Ovis aries: one gene and its partners. The protein of the gene in region 2 interacts with the protein of the main gene of each other region in a pairwise test. Links are inferred from orthologs where the notes say so. Each region holds a gene or a part of one and is shown on either strand. Other genes may lie near its edges.

Evidence for each region.
Region 1: the proteins of PPFIA1 (region 2) and PTPRS interact in a two-hybrid assay, tested with the Homo sapiens proteins (2 studies listed by BioGRID). The link is inferred for Ovis aries from reciprocal best matches to the Homo sapiens genes PPFIA1 and PTPRS.
Region 3: the proteins of PPFIA1 (region 2) and PTPRD interact in a two-hybrid assay, tested with the Homo sapiens proteins (2 studies listed by BioGRID). The link is inferred for Ovis aries from reciprocal best matches to the Homo sapiens genes PPFIA1 and PTPRD.

Annotation. Positions count from the first base shown.
Region 1 is NC_056058.1:16,829,054-16,832,699, reverse strand, and holds part of PTPRS (receptor-type tyrosine-protein phosphatase S), read right to left. Parts: coding exon 3,540-3,646; intron 2,387-3,539; coding exon 1,805-2,386; intron 794-1,804; coding exon 660-793; intron 392-659; coding exon 247-391; intron 1-246. UniProt on the Homo sapiens protein: Cell surface receptor that binds to glycosaminoglycans, including chondroitin sulfate proteoglycans and heparan sulfate proteoglycan.
Region 2 is NC_056074.1:43,864,029-43,867,674, forward strand, and holds part of PPFIA1 (liprin-alpha-1), read left to right. Parts: intron 1-1,440; coding exon 1,441-1,576; intron 1,577-3,646. UniProt on the Homo sapiens protein: May regulate the disassembly of focal adhesions. May localize receptor-like tyrosine phosphatases type 2A at specific sites on the plasma membrane, possibly regulating their interaction with the extracellular environment and their association with substrates.
Region 3 is NC_056055.1:78,724,127-78,727,872, reverse strand, and holds the start of PTPRD (receptor-type tyrosine-protein phosphatase delta), read left to right. Parts: upstream 1-1,446; 5' UTR 1,447-1,798; intron 1,799-3,746.

The DNA of each region.
Region 1 (3,646 bases), on a different chromosome or scaffold from region 2:
CAAACCAGCCATGGCTGTCTCCAGGGGAGATGGAGAAACTGGGGCCTGCGGGGTCCACGGGCGAGCCCCTCACTGCAGCGGCGGGGGAACTGGGGCTCAGCGAGGATTCTCGTGCGCCCGAGGTGGAGGAGAGAGGTGGGATGGGCCAAGGTGCCTCCCACCCTTGTGCAGGCCCCGCCCGGGTCAGTGCACAGGCGCCGGCCAGGTCCCCCCCGCAGGTCAGGGCGGGGTCCGAGAGACACCTACTGGACTGCAGCGTGCGCTGCCGCACCACCGAGGTGAAGGCGCCCAGGCCCTGCGGGGAGCGCGCCGCCAGGCGAAAGGCGTACTCCGTGTTGGGTTTCAGGTCATCCACCACGAAGGCCGTGGCCGGGTCGAAGGTCCTCGCGACCTGGGGGAGGGGCGAGGAGAGAGACCCGGATGGGGAGAGAGACAGACAGACAGACAGACAGACATCAGGGAGAGAGATAGACACAGACCCACAGAGTGATGGAGATGGAGAAGAGAGAGGTGGAAAATTTAGTAAGGGACGGGGCAAAGAGAAGGAGGAAGAGAGATATTCAGGCACCTAGTCCCAAGACAGGAGAGCTGCCCAGAGCGGGTGCCTGGGGAGGGGAGAGGGGGCGAGTGCCATCCCCTCCCCCACGCCACCCACGCACCTCTCTGCCGTGGTCGCCTTCCCGGTAGAGGAGCTCGTATTTGATGATGCTCTCCTGCCGCGGGGGGCTCCAGGAAAGCCCGATGCTCGTCTCTGACTTGGCCTCGGCCCGGAAGTTCATGGGCTGGCCGGGCACTGCGAGCGAGAGGCGAGAGGGCTGGTATCATCAAGGAGAGGCTGGGGAGGGGGTCCACCAGCATAGGGTCCCTAACCTTCGAGGTTCCCATTCTCCCCCAAAAGAGCTCCTTAAAGCTTATCACTGCCCTAACAAGAAGGGTTATGAGGTTCTGGATGCTCCCAGAATGTTCTCCACTGTTCTCATTTCTCTTCTTTTCCCGGGATAGCTCCCTGTGGCCTGTTGTTGTCAGCTGCCCGCCCCAACTCCCCCATCCTCTCTGCTGCCAATGGGAAAACATTTTAAAAATCCCGTTTTCAACGCTCCCCAGCATCCACCCTCTTCCCCTCAATTCAACAGAAAATTGGTGGGGCCGATAACTGAAAATATGGATCCACCCTGTGTCTGCTCTACGGCAGCAGAATTCCAAACCTCCTGTCCCTTTGCTTGATCAGTGGCCTGACTCTCCCTGGACTCGAGGTTCCCAAGCCCAGAAACCCATAGAGAGCTGGGGCCCACGCACCTACGTGCTGTACACCCCTACCCCCAGTCCTTCGCCCGCGCTGTGAGAGACCTGCCTTCAGCACTTTGGGTTAACATACTTTCTGTTATTTCAGTGATCCAGTGGGTAGGGATCACTCTAGCGAGAGTACTAAACGGAGGTTCTCAAACTCACAGATGGATGAGGGAGGGGCATAACAAAGGAGATGGAGGCCAGCGGAGGCCACGCCCCGTTTCTCAAACGCATCGCTACCAACTGTAGCCCTGTGTGTGGGCTTGCCAGATGGGCTTTTCCAAGGGTGGCCAGAAATCTGGGTTTTCTAGGACACCCTCCTGCATTGCGACGCTAGTGTGAAAATACTTGAAAAAGGCCAAATAAACTACGTGGTGGCTTCCAGGTAAGACGGCCTCCTCTGTGTGCTCAGAGGCACATCACTGCATGGCCGCCTCCTACTGCCTCGTGGGGCGTGGGTCCCAAATCCTTCTGTCCTCCCATCCCCCAGAAGTCGTGCATCACGTACGCAACTCACCTCCCTGCTGAGTCTTGACCTGGATGGGGTCCGAGAGGGGCCCGTCGCCCACGGAGGTGAAGGCCAGCACGCGCACCGTGTATGTTTCGTCCTCCAGAAGGCTGCCCACGGTGGTCAGCAGGCTGTCGTCCACGTTGTGCTTCTGCCAGTTGCCCACGGGGTGCTCGGGCTCCATGGTGTAATAGATCCGATAGCCCCGGATCAGGCCATTGGGTTCCACCGGCTCCTCCCACTGGATGATCATGGTGGTGGCACTGAGCATGCGCGCCTGCACGTTCCTCGGCGCGCTGGCGGGGGCCTGCTCGCCGGTGCGGGTGACCACCGACTCGCTGGGCGGACCCTGGCCGATAGAGTTGACGGCCGACACCCAGATCTCATACTCCGAGTTGGGGCTCAGACCACCAATGCTGTAACGCGTGGTGGTGATGTCCTCTTTGATCTGGTACGGCCCATCCTGACTCTTGGATTTATATTCGATGACATAGTAGGACACGGGGTCTGGGTTGCCTGAGTCCCACGTGATGGTGATGCTGGTGGCTGTGTTCTCTGTCACCACGGGAGTCCCAGGGGCTTTGGGGAGAGCTGTGGGTGGGAGGCAAGGTCACATGTCAGGCATACTGGCTGTGAACCCTCAAGGCTGTGTAACTTTTAGTCACTTGACTGCCCTCTCAGAGCCATAATTTCTTTGGTGGTAACACCTGTCTTAACGACCCCTAGCCTACCATCTGGAGAAGGCAGTGGCACCCTACTCCAGTACTCTTGCCTGGAAAATCCCATGGACAGAGGAGCCTGGTAGGCTGCAGTCCATGGGTTGGCACAGAGTCAGACACGACTGAGCGACTTCACTTTCACTTTTCACTTTCATGCATTGGAGAAGGAAATGGCACCCCACTCCAGTGTTCTTGCCTGGAGAATCCCAGGGACAGGGGAGCCTGGTGGGCTGCCGTCTGTGGGGTCGCACAGAGTTGGACATGACTGAAGTGACTTAGCAGCAGCAGCAGCAGCCTACCATCTATAGCAAGTATTGGCAAGGTATACGGCTTATGTATTGCTGGTGGCTGCTTCCGTGCTAAGAGTTACTAAGCTCTGTCACGGTAGCCCAAAAGCTGCCACCAGCCAGCTGTGAGCAAATGGGCAGGTGTCAATAAAACTTTATTTATAAAAACAAGTGGAGGGCCAGATTCAGTCCATGGACTGTAGTCTGCTGGCCCCTGTTCCAAAGCTAGAAAAAATATCTGGGGGCATCCTGCTCTGAGTTTCACCACAAACTTGAGACATCAAGAGAGTCAGTAATCCCTCCCTACTCCCCAGTGCTCCATCTCTCTGAGTTTTGCACAGGCTATTTCCTTTTCTTAGATATGTTCTCCATCTGTTTTGGCTCATTCCTGTTCAACTTTCAGTCTTCCTCTGACTTAGCTTTCCTGGGAATTGGCACCTTTATTCTGGGGGTCTGAGCGGTGCTCCATGGCCCCTGTCACTGCCCTAATCAGCATGCATCATATAACTGCCAGGCTACATGGTATCATCCACTTTGGACTGTGAGCTCAGTAGAACAAGATTGGGTCTCATTCCATGGGGCCCAGCCCACAATAATTTGTCATTAGTATGTTGACTGTCCTGTTCACAGCCAGGAGTGACTGAGGCCAGAAAAGTGACTCAGAAGCTTTTCCACCATTATGCCCCACCTACACCTGAGGTGCAGGGATGACTTGCCTCCCCCACGACCCCTGCTTACATTTCACTGTGATCTGGGCCACAGCCTCGATGACGCCCAGGCTGGACATGGCCACGCACGTGTAGTTGGCAGAGTCCTTCACGTCTGTGAGTTCCAGCACGTTCCGA
Region 2 (3,646 bases):
GGGATATCATTGTAGACAAAGGCAGAGCCAGAAACTGGCCCTGTGTCTGAAACCATGGCAGGTGGAGTTCAAGGGGAGCACGTGCCCTCTGGGACGGATGGGGGACATGGCCAGCCTTGCCCGCAGAGCTCCTCCAGGGTGAGGGCCTGGTGTTGTCAGAGGGGGAGACCCCCTGCTCCCGGGGTGGATGAGATGCGTGTGAGGAGGGCTGTTTGGACAGTGGAGGAAGAGGAGGTGGACACAGCCTCTTGCTCTGCAGACTGGGCAACGAGGAGGGTGCTGGTGCTGGGACCCGAAGGCCTGGCGCAGTTGGGGGTTCAGAGGGAGAAGCCTGGTCACCAGTCCCCTGCATGTCAGTGAGAGAGAAGAGGAGGCAGCCGGGGAGTAGTAGGGGCCGCTGTGCTCTGAAGACGGGGACCGCAGCGGCTGGGCAAGGGAGGGGTGTCTCCAGGAGGCAGCTTTCCAGGGGTCAGTGACTCGGCGGCACAGGTGGGGCCTCAGGGCTGGCTTCCGGGCAGGGTAGGCTGGCCCAGGCCGGGGGAGTGGGGACTGAAGCCTGGATCAGAGGCAGGGTGGGCTCAGTGTATTTGGCAGGACCTCCCAGTGGAATTGGTCACCTTGTCTCTGAGACCTTCTCCCGGAGGAAAGAGCCTCAGGTGAGGAGGGGGAGAGCGATGGAGGCTGCACTCTGGGAGGGGACTGGGAGGTGATGGTGGGGGGCGTCTCAACCCAGAGGCCTCTGTGGCCTTCAGAGGACCCGCGAGTGTCCACAGTCCCAAGCAGGACTCTGTCGTAGCTTCCACCTGACTCCCAAGTGTGCTGCGGTGGAAGTTGAGCAGAGAAAGGAGCGGTTCCATCAGGAGGGAGGGGAGATGGGAGGGAAGACAGGTGTGGCTCGGGGAGGTTCCAGACTTGCATCTCCTGGGAAACACCGTGCGGCTCAGGTCCGAGCTGTGGGTCCGAGGGCTTTGTGCCGTGGGCGGTCGAGGTGCCGTCAGAAGTGCTGAGAGCGGTGCAGACAGTGTTCCAGGGAGACGGGTGTTTGTGGTCCATGGACGTCACACGGGAGGTGGAGGGCAGAGCAGGCACCGGCCAGAGGGGGTGTGGGTGCCCAGGAGCTGGCAGAGCAGGTGCAGCCCCGCCCCGGGACCTGAGGGTGGGCTCTGGGGGACCGCAGCCCCGAGCACCGGGCAGCCAGCCGCACCCTCGCCTTAGCGCTGCCTTCCCTACATACGGGAGCTGCCCAGCTGGTGGCGCTGAGACCTGAGTGTTCGCAGGGCAGCAGGTGGGCCTGCTGCTGTTGGAGCCAGGAGGGCAGAGCCCGCCCCACGGCCCCTTTTCTGTGAAATTGCCAATTTTCCAGATCGACAGGCTCTGGCTTGACTGACAGAGTGAGCTCTCTTTTCTCCTAACAGCATCCTTCTTTCCCGTGTGTTCCAGCCGACCGCACCTGGGCAGCGTCCCGGACTTCAGGTTCCCTGTGGCCGACGGGCCGGCAGACTCCTTCAGCGGCGCGGCGGTGCTGCGGCGCCCCCAGAAAGGCCGGCTGGCAGCGCTGCGCGACGAGCCGTCCAAGGCAAGGACCCCCCCACCCCACCCCTGCCACCCCGTGCCTATCCCTGGTGGGCACCTTGTGAGGCCCCCGCCCCCGACACTGTGGTCCTGACACGGTTTTGGAACCAAGTGTTGATAGATCGCTTTACGTCTTCGAATTTTCCTTTTTCTGGCTAAGAGTTTACAAGGCATGTTTTTTTTTTTTTTTTTTTTTTTAAAGAACCAATTTTGATAACGTGTGGCTTCCTGTGAGGCCCGGCACAGTACTAATTAGCACAGTTTTGAAACCGTCCTACGAGTGAATGGATCCACACGTGCCTCATGTTTTAGTGAGAAGATTCTCGTTGGAAGGTTAAGCGCCTTCGTATTTTCGCCTCATTCATGGCGTGTGTTTTTTCGTATGTCTCTGTGTTTTGAGCGCCCACGTTCAGCGGGAAGCTAGTTTAGACCAGACGTCGTCGGAACGAGGACTCCAGCAGTGACTTAAAAACCGTGCGTGTTCTTTATCCACTGCTGCGTAACGAACCACTGCAGAGCTCGGTAACCTCGCAGTGAGCAGGCCACAGCCCACAGCTCCTGTCCCTCTCCCAGGCGGGCCTGACTCAGGGCCTCCTGAGGGCGCAGATTAGGGAAGGCTCCCCGGGGCTGGATGGTAGGCTTTCAGACTCAGCTGGCTGCTGGGGACAGGCCCAGGTCCCTGCTGTGCAGATCTCTGTGTGGCCTGGCTTTCCTCGGAACGCCCTCTGAGAGTGAGAGCGTAGGGTGTAGCCCGGGGTCTTTCATGCCCTGGTTCGGAAGCCGCACACCTTCACTTCTGTTTTCGAGCATGAGCTGTGAAGTCCTGCCTCGCTCGGGCTGAGCAGGAGTTGCCCCTTCTGCCTCTTGAAGGGAGGAGGATGGAAGGATTTGTGGACCCCTTTTTAAACCCGCACAGCCTGTCAGACAGCAATGAGCAGGGAAAGGAGACCAGAGTGCCCGAGTTGTCCGAGGAGGAGGGGACGATCGTGTGTGAACAGGGGTGGCCAACGAGGTGACACCAGGAGGGTGACCTTGAACCAGAGACCTGGAGGCGGGAAGAGAAGCCGCCACTCGGAGATAGATCAAGGGTCGAGTCAACCGGCAGGGACAAGGGAGAGAGCGGCCTGGATCAGGGAGGACCCAGGCTCAGGCCTGAGCAGCTCGAGGCCAGAGCCTGTTTGCTACGGTGAGGAGGGCTGCCAGGCAGGAGCTCAGAGCCGGGCCTCTGCCCTGTGGAGGTGGACAGGCCTGTCCAGGGGACGAGTCTGGTCAGCAGCTGAGTGTTCCAGCCTGCATCCGGGAGAGGACTCAACTCAGCTCAAGGTGGACTGGGGTTGCGGGCATGCAGATGGTGTTTAAAGGCATGAGCAAGATAAAGTCGCCAGGCAGGTGCCTGTGGAGAGAGATGAGGTGCAAGGGTAGAGCCGGGGGCCACCCCACGTTCCGAGGTTGAGAAGGGCACAAGGGACTGAGGACGAGCCCCAGGGAGGGTGGGGCCTGGAGCTGAGGGAGAGACACGCTGGGCGGGTGGGGAGGGGGTTTGGTAACACGGGGTCCTTGGAGCCCCCGGGAGCTGCCCTGTGGGGTGGGCCCCCCGCCTGCTTGCAGAGACTGGGCAGGGAGAGGGACAGTAGAGGCCGCTCCCGGGGAGCTCTCAGAGACCCGCGGTGGGCGCTGCAGGCAGCCCTGGAGGAGCAATCTGCTGGTTCCCGTGGTGCGATTTTAAGCAGGAAGAGGGAGAGGACGTGCTGCCCGGGCTGACGGGGGTGAACCTGTAGGCAGAGAAGGGTGTGAGCTGTGGGAGGGGGCGGGCGGCATGGGGCCCAGCGGGCACTCTCTGTGCGTCCCTGATTACAGAGCTGCCTTGCGATGCGAGAGGCTGTCCCCCAGGACAGCCCGAGTGCCTGCGCCCCGGGAGGAGAGTGCGGGGGGCTCGCCCTCCCGTCCCCTGGCTGCCCGTGCTCGCTCCTGTCTGTGGGTGCTCAGACCAGCCTGCAAACGGAGGGCTGGGAACCCGCGAGGACAGCACTCCCCAGTGAGCTAGTAGCAGCGATGACTGCCGAGGTGGACCCAG
Region 3 (3,746 bases), on a different chromosome or scaffold from region 2:
CTGTTTGTATCCACAATGCTAACAGCCCGTTTAACTAGAGGGTACCTGGATGGCTCTCTGTTGCACTATTACAAACAGGATAATTATTATTTTCTTTAAGCATCAACGTAGTGACATTGCTCTCTAGCAAGAAAGACAGCATTTAAAAAAAAAAAAAAAAACTGTTGCCATAGTTGTGTGCCCTGATCAGACATGAACGATAAAAGCTTTCTGCTAAATTTATTCCAGCCTGCCCACCCATCCTCTTCCCCAGCTCCAGTCTCCTCTTCTAGCTTCGCTCAGGGGATCTAAGTTCCTCTCCCGAGTCTGTGGTACACCACTTTACTGGCACTGGCCGCTCTACGGTGGGGTACTGAGCAGGAGGGGAAGAAATGACTCCCCCAACGCCCGCCCGTGTCCTCTCAACAATGAGACTGTTTCCCAGCAACTCTTTTGCAGTCTCCCCCGCCCCAACACAACCCAACCCCCTGCTTTCTCAACTACCACTTCGGCAGAGCCCAATGTCTCCTTCAGTCCCGTCAGTCAGGCTGCCACACATCCCAACTGACAGCTGCACCCTGTGTCTGATATACAGAACACCCCGGGCGCCTCACAGCCTCGCCCCCCTACCCTACCTCGTACTAACGGGGATTCTTCCCAAGCATCCACTGTGCTGTAAATTAAAACTCTGCCCCTTGCATTTTTAAACCCTCCACCCCCCTAACCCTTACCACCAGCTTCCCTCCAAATCAGAAAACCCAAAACACCTGTAAAATTAATCGAAAGCACGCGAACACCTGAAGCAGCGCAGGCGGGATCCACACCTGGGCAAGTCCTCTGTGGCTTTAGCGGTCGGGGATAGCCCGTGCCTGACATGGCCTCCTCTCCCCGCTCCGACCGCTTGACCGCCCCCCGCCCCCCGAGCCCTGGAATCCAGCCAAGGTCTCGGGGACGCAGGGTCAACCTGGTCCGCGTCGGGGCGGCTCGGGGGCGCGGCTCGTCTCCCCGCATCCCGCCCCAGCCAGCGCGCCTGCACCGCCGCCGCCGCCGCCGCCTCCCGGGTGGGCCCTCGGAACATCCCGCGCCGCGTCCTCCCCGCCCAGGCTCCCGCTCGCCCGCCCGCCGGAGCCCGGCCCGCGCCGCTGGCAGCCATCAAGTGGCTCGTTAAGGAAATGCAGGTGAGTGCGTGCGGCGGGGCGGCTGCCGCCAGAGACGTGGGGTGTGTGCCTGTCTGTTCGAGCGGGAGCAGGAGGGAGCGCGAGCGAGCGGGCCAGCGCGGGAGCGACCGGGAGAGGATCGCCGCCTCGGCTCCCCGCCCCGCCGCGCCCGCAGCCGGCAGCCCGAGCGCGTGGGGCAGCGCCTCGCCCTGACGGCGGACGGTCCCTCGGCTTCTCCGCCAGCCGCTCGTCGGCCTCCCCCGCCCCGCGCTCCCTCCCAGCCCGAGCCCTCCTGCTGCTCCTCCTCCTCAGCCTCCTCCCTCCTCGCGCCGCTGACAGGCAGCCTCCGCGGGGAGAGTGCAGGTACTTTGCCTTCAGAATAATTTGCAGGACCCCAGCGAGCTTGCGGAGCGCCCAGATTTTGTCCTGCCCTCGCCCCCTCCCTCCCGAAAAGAAGATCCCACTTTTGAAACAAGCAGAACCCCCGAAGCAGAGGCAGCAGACCAAAGCCAGAGCCCGACGGGCGGCTGTGCATGTGCTGTCCTTTCTTGCAGTTTATTCTGGGCCTGTGTGGAATAGAAAGACAATTCTTTATTTGACTGGAAGGAGAGAAAAGAGAAGACTCCTCAGGGTTTCCAAGGAAGACTGGAGCGACTGCTTTAGTAAGTAAACTGTGCTTCCGTATTTCTTGTCTTAAAGTGAGGCATATGCTGAATGAATGCTTCTCCCCCGATGGTATGGGCGGGCAGTTTGTTCGTTTTACCAGGGAACAAGTTGACTTATATAACTTCACTAGTTCTTAATTGAGAAGTGGTTTGCTAAGCATTCTTTTTTTTTTTTTTTTTTTTAAGAACATTGCATTGAGCAGACTTCAGTGTGGGCAACCATACTGGAGATCTGTTTTTTAAACGCTCATTGTTCATGAGCTATGGAAGCTTGGTGTTTGAAACGCTGGTTGGTTCTAAGATTTAAGGATGGGTTCCTAGGGAGAAAAAAAAAAAAAAAAAAAACCTTGAGAATTCTAACCCTACTGGTACCACCCCCCCTACCCCCCCCCCCCCACTGCTACCTTCAACCTCAGTCTTAATCCACACCAACTCCCATCCTTCACTGACTTCTCTTGGTTGCTTGTTTTATCTTTAGTTCTGAAGAGAGCTTGTTTAAAAAAAAAAAAAATGGGTCAAGGGAAAGTTAATATAGGTGGTTTGAAAGACTGGAATAAAAGCCTGTTGAGTTTTGTTTTTTTTTTTTTTTTTTAATGCTTGTAGATGAATGAGATATGGAGGAAAATCTGAGAAATAGCCTCGTTTAGAAAAAAATGCATGGAATTAATTTGGAAAAGGAATCTGAAAAATGTTTTGGAGAGGGCAGAAGCTGAGGCTGTGACTTTGACACAGCAGGTTATAAACTGTGACAGGGCTCAGCAGCCTGTGACAGGTTTAAGGTGTCTCCTAGGGCTGAATATCTCTGCATCAAAAACTTTTGCAGGCAGTATTCCTCTTGGGGTTAACATCACCATGTCAGTAGCTGCAGCATTTCTGTAAAAACAAGTAGGACAATCTTCCTTTCTCTGTGAAAGGGTTAACGATATCTTAAAATTAAAAAAAAAAAAGATACATTTGGCAATATTTTGTGATATCTAAATAGAATCTTTGTGTTATATCAGGACGAATATAGTTGAGTCAGTTTGTTTTGCAGAAGAGGGAGAGAATCAATAACATTTCAGCAGTCTTTTTTTTTTTCTTTATCACTGCCAAATGGATCCTGAATCTAATTCTTCTTGCATTGTTACATATACAGTAGATACAGTAGAATTACAGTTTAGTTACAACAAAGCTGATTAACAAATTCAAAGTTCTTTGACATAACGCTCATACTGACTAGTATAGAATACTGATTAGAAAAAGTTTGTTTTTTCTTTAACTTTCAATTTTCCATGTTGGTATAAAATACACTTTTCTAATCATTTTAAGAGTTAAAAACCAGACTGAAAACTAAAACCACTTGTCTCACAGATTTTATTTCTAAGAAAACACCGTACTATCGAATAATACCTAAGGGCTTTCTTATATTTAATTGATGAAAAAAACACTTACTTTTTTATTTACTCGTTATTATATAAAAGTAGCTATATTCTTTTGACACTGAATTTTAAAAATTGAAGAGTGAACTAATGATCACTGATTTTAAAAAGGGAAAGATCTTTCAGAACTGTTATTATCCAATGTCAAAAGCTCTGAATATCTTGAGACATAAGTTTTTAGGATAATGAAATAACAGTAGGACAGTTGATGAATTTGTTGACATGAAGTTACCATACATGGAAATCACTTGATAAAGACATCATTATTTCTTATATATTACTTTATTTTCTATCCAAATGTTTTTTCTTATATATATTACTGCTCTCAGTTGCCACTTCTACCATTAGTTTAAAGTGAATTTAAATAATTTAAAATAAAGCCCCAGGTTGATCAGATTTGGATTATAGCAAATGACCTCTACTCATCTGTGACCTCACATATCTAAAAGAATATCTGATGTTTGAAAAAATAAATATTGAAAATAAAAGGTGAATTTGTACTGAGGTAACCAAATTTGAGTGGGTCA